3 linked regions of the Coturnix japonica genome follow. The protein of the gene in region 3 purifies or fractionates together with the protein of the main gene of each other region. This does not show direct contact. Links are inferred from orthologs where the notes say so. Each region holds a gene or a part of one and is shown on either strand. Other genes may lie near its edges.

Evidence for each region.
Region 1: the proteins of SBF2 (region 3) and MTMR1 purify together in Homo sapiens (affinity purification with mass spectrometry; 3 studies listed by BioGRID and IntAct, with this or other methods). This does not show direct contact. The link is inferred for Coturnix japonica from reciprocal best matches to the Homo sapiens genes SBF2 and MTMR1.
Region 2: the proteins of SBF2 (region 3) and MTMR2 purify together in Homo sapiens (affinity purification with mass spectrometry; 3 studies listed by BioGRID and IntAct, with this or other methods). This does not show direct contact. The link is inferred for Coturnix japonica from reciprocal best matches to the Homo sapiens genes SBF2 and MTMR2.

What each region holds. Positions count from the first base shown.
Region 1 is NC_029519.1:16,435,067-16,439,260, forward strand, and holds the start of MTMR1 (myotubularin-related protein 1), read right to left. Parts: upstream 2,819-4,194; 5' UTR 2,753-2,818; coding exon 2,625-2,752; intron 1,387-2,624; coding exon 1,281-1,386; intron 180-1,280; coding exon 156-179; intron 1-155. UniProt on the Homo sapiens protein: Lipid phosphatase that specifically dephosphorylates the D-3 position of phosphatidylinositol 3-phosphate, generating phosphatidylinositol. Could also dephosphorylate phosphatidylinositol 3,5-bisphosphate to produce phosphatidylinositol 5-phosphate.
Region 2 is NC_029516.1:165,634,613-165,638,862, reverse strand, and holds the start of MTMR2 (myotubularin-related protein 2), read right to left. Parts: upstream 2,827-4,250; 5' UTR 2,727-2,826; coding exon 2,644-2,726; intron 1-2,643. UniProt on the Homo sapiens protein: Lipid phosphatase that specifically dephosphorylates the D-3 position of phosphatidylinositol 3-phosphate and phosphatidylinositol 3,5-bisphosphate, generating phosphatidylinositol and phosphatidylinositol 5-phosphate.
Region 3 is NC_029520.1:13,379,421-13,382,969, forward strand, and holds part of SBF2 (myotubularin-related protein 13), read left to right. Parts: intron 1-784; coding exon 785-1,047; intron 1,048-1,277; coding exon 1,278-1,450; intron 1,451-1,717; coding exon 1,718-1,791; intron 1,792-2,191; coding exon 2,192-2,387; intron 2,388-3,227; coding exon 3,228-3,355; intron 3,356-3,549. UniProt on the Homo sapiens protein: Guanine nucleotide exchange factor (GEF) which activates RAB21 and possibly RAB28. Promotes the exchange of GDP to GTP, converting inactive GDP-bound Rab proteins into their active GTP-bound form.

The sequences.
Region 1 (4,194 bases), on a different chromosome or scaffold from region 3:
GCAAAGAAGCTGTTGCATTGCATAGAAACATGGCCTGAGAGATCATAAAAACCATCAACGAAGTAAAGAAGAACGCTTGACACACCAAGATGTCACACAGCACAAAGGACAAACAGGCAGGAGGCCGTTTTACTACTTGCCACAGGTAACCTTACCCGAATATCAGGCCTCCTGTACACCTGTTAGTTAAAATATAACATGTTATCCAACAAAATGCACAGCTTTGATTCATTAAAGGTATTACAGCATTTGTCAGATTTTCAAGAGAACTCTACTTCCAAGCATGTTCATTACAGCTGAACTTAAAAGCAGAACAAAACAACCCTATGTACATATAGCAGCTCCTACTTGCAGAATTAATCTGCTGTTAAAGTATTCTAGCCACTTCCATTTAGTGCTGAAACAAATGCCACATTCTTTTGAAAAAAATTACTTATTTTACTTATTATTTTAGTAAATCACTCTTTTATTCAATGCTACTGTGACAAGGGAATAGCAAGCCCAGTAATTCTCTGAGGTAAAAATAAGAAGCCTGTGGTAACAATGATGAAATACAACCCCCAGATCTTCTGGATTCTAATGGCAAAACACAGACGGCTGCAGCTCTTCACTGGAATCACACAGAATCAAAGAATAGCCCGGGTTGGAAGGAACCTCAAGGGTCACAAATCTCCACCCCCTACCGCCCCCCCACCACAGGCAGAGCCACCAACATTTAACAGTAGACCAGGCTGCTCAGAGCCCCATCCAACCCGGCCTTCAACACCCCCAGGGATGGGGCATCCACAGCCTCTCTGGGCAGCCTGTGACAGCACCTCACTGCTCTCACATTCAACTCATTTCTGAAGGCAGTCATTATTTTTTGTTCCTTTGTTTCTAAGAAAGAGAGATAAACGCACCTAACTAGGCCTCAAAAGACTTAGTCCTCTTAAGTAATAACCAAGGTGAATATGCAACAGAGAATGAAGCTACTCAGAATAGAAAGGCAGTAAGGAGTGCCTTACAACAAAGGCAGAGGAATACCATGTAACTCAAGAGATAAACTGAGCACTGAGCTGACACACCTGCATTTTATCTGTACATTTCATTGTCACTACTCTAACTATGGAGGAAAACACAGATCACATTCAAAAGATTCCTATGCACAAATGAGACGCTTCTAGTTGTTAAATACTCTGAGATCACTGAAGTACTTACCAGCTGACACTCAAAGCAGCAAGGTCTTTCCTGACTGCTCACTCTTATCCAACACAAATGAACACACTGCTCAGGATACTTACCCGGTAGTCTCTGGACACACCTTCCGAAGGGACAGACCCAGAGATCTGACTGGAAATGGTAGCAGCTATCAGCTGTTTGCACCATTCAACATGCGACCCTGTAGGGCTACAGAAACAGAATACTTAATGTCGTTTAACGATCAATATCATACAATCAAAAAGGACAGTACAGTGGAAAGGCAATACAGGAGTGGAACAGCAAAAGGACTAGGGCAGATAGAAGGGAAAAGTGCTCACCCATCTCCAAAGACCTCAGCTCACAGGAAGAGCTACAGGGGAAGGATCTCTAACCGGAGATCCCTACCCAGTGGCAGTGAGCCCTTAAATGAGGTCTAAGGGAGGTGCAGCCAGGCTCCAGTTGGTCACCCAGCAGAACTGCCTTCCCCTGTGCTCCCAGGGCTGACCCAGTCCTTTCCCTAGGTGCTCAATCAGTGGTTCAGGCCATGATTCAACAGTTACCATACGCATTCAAAATATATATTGAGAATAACACGGCACAGCGGTACAAAACAAGGCCATAAGTGAGTGTTAACACTATACAAATCAGGTTTCTCTGGGGGCAGAACACAATTATTTCAATGTACAAAGGAGGTAAAAGAATTTTACTGGATCTTCACAGAGATGTAGAGCTGTCAGTGTGCCAAATGCATGCTTATGGTCACAGAATCACAGAATTACCCGGGTTGGAAGGGACCTCAAGGATCATGTAGTTCCAACCCCCCTGCCTGGCAGGGCCACCAAACATACACCTTTACTAGATCAGGTTGCCCAGGGCCCCGTCCAACCTGGCCTTGAACACCTCCAAGGACGGGGCATCCACAACCTCCCTGGGCAAACTAATAGTCCTCGGAGCTGCTCTGGGTTAAGGCTTTTTCAGCAGAGCCCTCTGCCTGCCCCCAGCACCTGCCCACCCACCGAGCCGTGCAGCCCGAGGTGAAACACTCGTGTTTGCGCCTCCGAGAAGCAGCCAACAGAACAGCCGGCTGCAACAGGAAAACCGCCTCAGGAGAGATAAGAAGCTCCGTAGGTTCCCCATAACCCCAGCCAAAATCCTGCAGGCAGCCCCAGCCTTACCGCACGGATGACGCTAATCGCGAGAAGCACACGACCGCAGGCAGGAAACTTTGACAGAGGAAAATCCGCCGTTTGTTAAAGCGGCGGGACAAAAATAAAGGCGCAGATTTGAAGCACCGGCTGAGCCCCGCTCCCACACGGCCGCCCCGGCTGCAGGAGGGCCCGGAGGCCTCAGCCATATGCGGAGGGCAGCGCAGTGCAGTGCAGCGCAGCGCAGGCCGCCGTGCCGGAGCCCAGCGGCGCATAGCGGAGCCGTGCCGTCCCGCTCACCTGTCCAGCGTCTCGCTGCTGGCCTGCCGCGAACCGGCCCCCGCAGCCGCTCCCGCCGCCGTCCTGGCGGCCCTCCGGCTCACAACGCCGCTCTCCGCCGCCGGCCCGGCCGCCGCCGCCCGCTCCATGTTTCCAGCCGCCGGCGGGACGCCCCGCGCCGCCACGATGGCGGCCTCCCGCCCGGCACGGCCCGGCCCTGCCGCCTCAGCCCGGGACCCGGCGGCGGCCCAGAGCTGTCACCTGGCGGCCGGCCTTACCCACAGGCCTCCGCGGCGCCGGGAGGGGCGGCGCCGGGTGGGAGCGGGGCAGGCCCGGCCCGAGGGAAGCGGCGGAAGGAGCAGAATGATTGTAAAGAGAAATCTAGAAACCTTTATTTCTTTATTCCCATCCACGCACATACAGAGCACACGGAGACCGGGCTCCCCTCCCGCCCCGCTTCAGAGCGGCTCTCATCGCCCGGCGCCCCACGGTGCTGCTGCAATAGGCCCAGGGCTCAAGTGTGACACCGTACAAACCGAGCTCCAACATACTTCCAAAGGAGGCAGTGTGAGAGGCTTCCGTAGGTAACACTCCTAACGGTGATGCTGGGATGGATAAGGCATGCAGCAAAGGAAGAAAGCAGTCTGCAGTAACTTCCCAGTACAGAACAGGGTCCGTGGAAGGAAGGATACAAGAGAAATAAAACAATAACACAGTAACAGAGCTCAGGCCAGTGTTTCACAAAGGACAGCACGGAGCTGTAGCTGCTGCTGGCTACAGCCCAGCTCTCCCTCTCCCAAAGCTGGCAGTCATTGCCCATCACTTCCTTATTCACCACCTCAGGAACTTCCTGGCTTGGACCTGGGGAGGCTCACATCACAATGCCAAATGACAGCCCAAATACTCATCTGGATGGAAAGGAGCTTCCTATGAACACTGATCCAAACCAGCAATATGAAGAATGGAATCTAAGTAATGAACTGAGCGCATAAAGATCTTTCCATTATGTTACATTTCCCCACACACAACAGGTTATCGTGTAGTGTAGAATTATACCTTCTGAACTTCCCCACACCGCTCAGAGATGTCACCGATGTATTCAACTCAAATACAGAAACATTAAATATTCTAATAAAATTAGCTTTATATATACGTATCTATATACATATAGAAACTACAAGTAAAAGGCAAAATATACCAGAATATGCATAGTTCTCAAAAGTGTATCTCAGCCAAGTATCTTCCTTCATCTGAAATAAATGCATCTTGTTTACCTCAACGAGCCAAGCTTTGGGATCACGGCATTTCTTGTTGGTTTGGAAACCACAGTGAGAAATACTGAAGGGAGAATGAAATTTAAAGGACAAAGAAATAAGTTGTGTGCATTTTAGAGCACACGCGCTGTATGCTCTGAGCTTCCCTGAACATAAAGTAGTGCAACTCCGTGTCTGCGCTGAAGCAAATGGAGAGGCAGCACATTTTAATTCCTTTGAAAGAAAAAACACTGCTCCTAAAAAATATCCCTCTAAACTTTGACTGACTCTGTGGAATTATAGCTTTAAACTTAGTTTTTGTATGCAAAATATTTACA
Region 2 (4,250 bases), on a different chromosome or scaffold from region 3:
ATACTTGTCTTCAATGGCAACAACTCTCAGAAATCCTGCTGCACGCATAGAAGAAATCAAAAGCAAGAAGTGCTCTCAAAGTCCAGGAAGAAAAAGACAGCTACTCGCATTTCACTGAATGCCAGAACTGGCAAAAACCCTTCCTTTTCAAACTCTAACTTCAATGACTCATCACAAAACAACTCCATCAGCAAATCACACACATCTGGTAGCAATGTGGTGCTAGCGAGCCCTCCTCAGCCAACAGCTTACAGATCCAACTCCTTCCAGCATCACTCTCATCTGTGGGGAAAGAATTCCTTCAACATAGCCTTAAATCAGAGCAGGTATTGACAGGACCTTATTTGAGATGAACGGAGTTCATACCTCGTGGAGCTATTGCTTCAACAGACCTCGCTGCACTGATTTACACAGAGCTTATGTTTTCTGAGTTACCCCTGCAAACGCTAAGGACAAGGAGCGTGATTGTTTTCATATGCTTCAGCATGAAGCACAGCGCACAGGATTCACTGCGCCCGCAGACCTCTACGGAGCATAACTGCCAGCAGAGAGGTGGTAACAAGCAACCAGAAAGTGGGAACATCAAACATCGCTACAGTCACGCTGGCAGGAAACATCTGCCCACTGCCTTATCTCTGTCTGTCATTTTAGACTGAGGTTGAAAAATCACCGACATCTCCTGCAGCAATTTCCTTCCTGTACAATCACATCCACGCTTCTGCACAGGCAGTACAAATTCACCTTCAGTGGACCTAACAGAGAGACTCCTGGCCATTCTACTTGTCTGTTGTTCAGACTGAGCTTTAATATGTTTTTCAAACGTTTTTTATGGAAGCACACAGAGATTTGTTCATTTGGAGACTAAGACATGGAATCACAACACAAACAAAATGCCTTATCACCTTTAATGTCACCTACAATTTGATATCACCTTTTAATTTAATTAATTTCACAGAGAGTCTTTCCAAACTATTACTTAGCACAGTGAAAAGGTATTTATCAGTCCCCCAGAAGCCCCAGACCATCACTCAGGTCTACTGAAACATCAAAGCAACCTCCACTATCAGACGTCACCAACATCCCATTTGCACAACCAAATGACAAACATTCTAACACGTGTGTTTTTTAAGGTCCTTATTCACGTGAGCAACCTTTCCAATGGTAAACTCTACCAGCTGTGCCTTACCAAGGGCTCAGAACTCAAAGCTGTCCTACCTTACAGACCACAATAAGAAAGGGATGAAAATAAATATATTGTATGTTGAATGTAAAATACATTCAACCATACAAATATGTTTCAGGGTATTTGCATCGAGATGTTGGAGCAGAGACTTGAAATTCTGAAGGTTATCAGATAAGCTTCTTAATACCCCAAGAAAACTGTTCAAGTTAAGGCCTTTTCAGGACTTGGAGGACAGTCCTGTGCATGCTCAGCAGAGACAGATTTACCACCTCCATCTCCCAGTGCTTCCATCTGTACAGGGCATGCTGCTGAGTAAGGTTCTTCCAAGGTAAGCTGTGTTTCCATGACTGCAGGTCCCAGTTTCCTGTACAGTGACTGACCTTCAGATGGGTCCAAGCTGCCCCAGCTGATGCAGAGAGTGGACGAGAATTATACTGGGGAAGTGAGGAAAAAGAGAAACGGCATCTGGCAGGTAAAGCACACTATGGAAACAGATACAGAAAACAGAAGAGCTTGATGAAGCAGAGTGAAATGGTCACAGAGGACATGAGAAGGATGCGCTATCGATGCAGAGTGGGCACTGCCTGCCTGGGGGTCCTGCTGGGTGGCACAGCAGAGCAGAAGTCAATGTCACCCTGGGATGAAGGCACAGGGGAAGCACCAGGAGATGCAGGGAAAGGTCCGCCTCCTCAACTCAGTGCTCATTGATGTGCTTCTGGGATCTGCATACAGTTTCTATCTCCCTAAAGGCACTGGAGGGGAGCTCAGGAGAGACCACTGAGAGGGTGGGGGCTGGACCACCTCCCCCATAAGGATGGACTGGGTTTGGTCAGCCTGGAGCAGGAAATACTTCAGAAGGACCCACAGGAAGCCCCAGAGGCTACACAGAAGGTATCAAAGGGATGGAGGACGTGCAGTCGCTATCCTTGCACGTTTCCAGTATGACCTGGCCTCCGAGCCATGCCAGCAGGACTGAGAGATCCTTATGGCCATTCAACCTGGGCACAGAGGGCAGCCAGAACGTGGCAGGACCCCTCCAGCCTCCGGGGCATCGTCCGTCCTCCCTGTGCCCCACCCTCACAGCCTCGCAAGATGTGCTTCTGAGTCACGGCATCCACACCTCTCCCACACCCTGCGAGACGCAGGAAGCCTCGCAGAGGTAATTTCCTCTCGGAAATCACCCACGCAGCATTAAAATGTCATTAAGAGTAAAATAAAAAAATAAAAAATCAGGCTCTCCTAAGGCTGTCGGGGGACAAAACGACACGGATTCAACAAACCCCACGACCTTCGCTCCTGTTAATAAGACGGCACAGGGCTCAGCCGCCCCGAGCAGCATTCAGCACTGATGGAGAACGGCGGCACCGATGTTCTCCCCCCGCCCCGCCACGGCTCCGTGCAGCGGGACGGCCCTTCAGGCCCAGCCCTGAGGAGCTGGAGCTGCCCGCGGGGGCCGTTACCTGGACAGGGAATCGCCGCTGGGCGGCCGCGCTGCCACCGCCCGCCCGGCGCCGAGGCTCTCGCAGCTGGAGCTCTCCTCCATGCCGGGCTGCGGGGCGGCCCCGGGACGGGCGGCCGTCAGCCGAGAGCGGGGATGGAGGCGGCCATGCCGGCCCGGCGTGCTGAGCGGGGAGGGCGGGCCGAGGCGGGGCGATACCGAGCGCTGCCGCTCCCTTTGCCGCAGCCTGCCCGCCTCTCAGCGACCGCAGCCCGGTGAGGTCGGTGAGGGATAGCGGTTACGGGCGTCACCGAGAGCCGCCGTGGTGTCAGGGTCAGCGCTGTTTAAGGTCTTCGCCAAAGACGCTGACAGTGGGGTCTGCACCCTTAGCAAGTTTACTGATGATGCTCCAGAGAGATGAGATGTCATCCAAGGAGACCTCGACAGGATCCAGCAGTGGGTCCAGGTGAACCTCATAGGGATCACAGAATCACAGAATCACAGAATCACGGAATCACAGAATCACAGAATGACCCGAGTTGGAAGGGACCTCAAGGATCATGTAGTTCCAACCCCCCCTGCCTGGCAGGGCCACCAAACATACACATTTACTAGATCAGGTTGCCCAGGGCCCCGTCCAACCTGGTCTTGAACACCTCCAAGGACAGGGCATCCACAACCTCCTTGGGCCTAACCACTCTCCTAGTGAAGAACTTCCCCCCTAAGGGATCAACAAAGCCGAGTGTAAGGCCTGCAACTGGGCTTTGGCAAGCAAGGGGTATAAGGATTGAGCACAGCCCTGCTGAAAAGGACTTTGGGGTACTGACTGATGGCAAGCTGTGTATGAGCCAGCAATGCACCCTTACAGCCCAGAGAACCAGCCGTATCCTAGGCTGCATCCAAAGCAGTGTGGCCATCAGGGTGAGGGAGGTGATCCTGCCCCTCTGCTCTGTGCTGTGAGGCCTCATATTGGAGCAGTTTGATGAGCAAGAGAAGAGCTCTTAACATTATTTACAAAGACTCAGGAGGAACTGCAGCTGATGCTTCCCTCTCACAGTGTCTTTTGAACACATTAGCTGTTTTGACAAAGGTTCTATGAGGCAGACAAGAAGCCAAAGCACTGTTAGCAAGCAGGAGGGTTTCAGTAAAGCCTGCTAGTCAGCAGTCTGTTGGTAGAGGCAAGAGAACACCCAGTGTCACAAATATGACTCCCAGGGGACATCCATGCTTGAAACAGTAACTCAAAACGTCATAAATCCTCTACAAATCTGAATGTTCTATGGATGTAAAATGGTTACTCATCACCCATTTGCTCTCCAAAGAGTAAGTCAGTTGATGTACCTCCTCCTGCTGTTTCCCAGTTTGCTCCTGTCACTGGATGTAAGTCCAAAGCACTTCGAGTCACTTGCAAACTGGTGAGGGCAAGCAGGATGTTGAAGCCGTATTGCAGCAGCCCCGTCTGAGACAGCATTAAGCTGCTGTGAAATTCCCTCCCCTGCTCTTCCCTTTAGTGTCTTTCAGCTGCTGTTGAGCAAGCTCGATGTGGGATGGTTTGAAGCTGGTTTAAACTTGAAAACACAGCTTTGTCAAAGCAATTTTTTTCCCCGCTGTTTTGGTTTTCTTTTTTAA
Region 3 (3,549 bases):
TTAAAGCAGGAGCATTTTTGTGTCTAGTGTTAGATTGTTACCAAACCCTAGCCGGCTGTCTGCTGATGGGCATTGTCTGCTTCTTTAAAACTTTTTTCTTAAACTCGCTCATGTGTTTGACTGTTAAAGTAGCTGAACTTCACCTGGTATGAAGAAAAAACATTTGTAGAGTATTGTGTTCTTTAATAATTTAACACCAAGCGTTATGTCATCTGTATCAACTGCCAGACTTTTAAATTCTAGTTCTGTCAGGCTGCACTGTAATCTGCTCTCCAACATGCAAAGGCATGAATGTTTCAGTAGATCTGGAAACTGTTCTTATAAAAGCTTGCCTTACCTGAACATCCCCAAAATTTGGAGAATATCAAATGCATCAAGTAATCAGCTGCATCTCATTAATGTTTATTGTTACTTGAGCTAAGTAGAAAAATTAAGGAGAGTAGTTATATTGAAATCATTAAACTACTCTAAAGAAACCTAAGAGATCATGTAGCATTAAAAAATGTAGAAAGAGATGATGTTATTGAGTTAGAAATGTTCACATCATGCTCTGCTAGTTGTGCATTTCATTAAGCTACCTTCAGTTCTTCAAGTTGCTGTAATTATACTCTACTTAAACCCTACTACATGTTACTACTTGCTTTTTCTTTTTAAATAAATATGTAATTTAAATAATGGAAGAATTTAAGTAAACAACTTAATTTAAAAAGCTTTGACTAGCATTGTTTTGACTAAACACTGTTTTTGAGTCATAGCTTAGTGTGTATATTTGTATGTCTTTTAGGAGAAAAATTCTGTAGGTGCAGACCACGATAAGACAGCAATGGATCTGGCTGCGGAGCAGTTGCGATTGTGGCCAACTCTTAATAAACAAACTCAACAGGAGCTCGTCCAGAATGAGGAAAGTACAGTTTTCAGTCAGGCAATACATTTCGCTAACCTCATGGTCTACCTGTTAGTACCACTAGATACAAGTAAGAACAAGTTATTGAGAGCATCAGCTACTGGTGACTGGGAGAGTGGAAGCAACAGTATTGTCACAAACAGGTGGGTACACTGCCATGATAGGTCAATCTTTTGGGGAAAATACTAATTTTCAGGACTTACTCTGAATACAAGTTTATTTCAGTATCTTCTCTTCAAGATTACTATTTCTAGATAATTAATTAAGGGGAGTGGAAATCTAACATGATTCCTCTCAAATGGTAGAACTTTATCTAGACTAAATTACTGCCACTTAAGGAAATTTAAGAATTTTTTTTTTTTAATGTCCATAGTATTGCAGGCAGTGTTGCAGAGAGTTATGACACTGAAAGTGGATTTGAGGACTCTGAGAACAATGATGTTGCAAATGCAGTTGTGCGCTTCATCACCAGATTTATTGATAAGGTTTGCACAGAGAGTGGAGTTACACAGGATCACATCAAGGGTCTTCATTGCATGATACCAGGTAAGAATTGTGGTGAAAATGTGACTTCATAATCTTTCATTTTTCGGGTTTTTTTTTCTGATGAAAGAAATACACATTTTAGTTGCAGTCAGTTTCTGTGGACATAAAGATCAGATCTTTTTGTAGACTTTAATTGATGTTGAATTTCAACTAACTATTTTCTTGATGGTTAAATTTAAGAATTTTGGAATATCAGCTTTCCAATTAGATTGCAACTTTCTCTTTCATGTTATGCCAGACTTCATTTATGATATTACTGATTTTCAGGCATTGTGGCAATGCACATAGAGACTTTGGAGGCTGTCCATCGTGAGAGTAGAAGGCTTCCACCAATACAGAAGGCAAGCATTATGAAACATGTTTGTATTCTTTACACGTACTAGAATCATGAAGTTTAGTCATCTTTTTTTTTTTTCTTTTATTTTCCACTTCATAATGTTAGAAGGAAACATCAGAACATTGTAAGAAAAATTCCACAAGTGATAAATAAAGTGCTTGGCTTTGGTATCATGAAATATGAACTTAGAAAGCTATTAGAGCCAAATTTTTGATCATAAACAAGCTGTTGCATACCCGCTGTTTTTTGAGACCCATTTTTCTTAGTTGAGTCCAAACTCCATCTCCCTTCTTTGGAATTACTCTCATAACAATTTTGTTTTGAATCTTTCTACACCAAATATAATTAGGCTGAGGTACAACACTGGTACCCTTATCATACTTACACTATTTTACTTTCATCAGCCCAAAATTCTACGACCAGCTTTACTGCCAGGAGAAGAATTTGTTTGTGAAGGTCTCCGTGTGCTACTTGATCCTGATGGCAGAGAAGAAGCTACAGGAGGACTCCTTGGAGGTCCTCACATCCTTCCTGCTGAAGGAGCTTTGTTCCTTACTACCTACAGAATTATATTTAAAGGCACTCCTCATGATCAGCTGGGTAAGAAAAACTCAACAGTAATAGAACTTCGAGCTGACCTGTCCATCTATGTAAATATCAGCATCAAGGTGCATCTACCTCTGAGAGTAATTTTTCATGGTCATCATATTGGGATGGTCTTTTGTTATAGGTTTTTACTCTAGATATGACAGAACTTTATTTTCATTTTGCATTTAGCCTAATCTGATTTCTTCAGATAAGACAGCATATGAACTGTCTGTGATTTGTGACTTCTACTACTTCTTTTCATTTGATGGTTTTTTTTCAACTGCTTGGAAGTGTGTAAAATGAAAAAAACAAACAAACAAAAACATAAGTTAGTAATGTCCTTAAAATTATTATTAATAAATTAAGCATTGCTTTTTATATGTTTTAGGTGGCAGTTTTTCATCTCTTGACATCTGCCATTTCTAAGCAAATTAAATTGTCAAAAATATAGATTTATCTTTCAAAGTTTATAGTTGTTTGTAAAGAAGACGGTGTAAAACTTTCATTGTTTATAAGGTGCTTAATGTAATGTGAACATTAATTATGTTTGTAAGTGTTTCTTGACTGCTTTCCAAACTATATTTTTGGGGTGTATTTTCAATGCACAAAAAACTCAGAGAATATTTTTCCAAACAGAAAGGAAGCAGAAAAAGTAAATGCTTCAGGTTATAGATAATACTTGGGGATTTATCAACTTTTCAAGCATTTTCTGTTAAATTAATTATATGCAGTTATTTTCCCATTGCTTTGTATGTTATAATTATTGTCTGCTCAGAATATATTGTGACCTAAACAGAGCTGATTCTGTGATCAAACAAGTATCCATAAATATTACAATTCTTTGGTTCTCAGTGGGAGAGCAGACGGTGATTCGGAGCTTTCCTATTGCATCTGTTACAAAGGAGAAGAAAATCACTATACAAAACCAGCTGCAGCAAAGTATGCAGGAGGGCTTGCAGATCACTTCAGCTACCTTTCAGGTAAAAGGAAGTTTTGTGAAATTTGTGCAGTTCAAAATACTTACAAGCAGCACTTTGTCCTGATACTCGTGGAGAGTTCAGTGTCCTGCTCTGTAAAGTCAAGAGAGAACATGTAATCCTCTCATAGAAACTCTTTTGGTTTTTGGTTCATTTGAAACAGTGTTATTGTTTCCGTATTTGATTTCTTTCTCTCC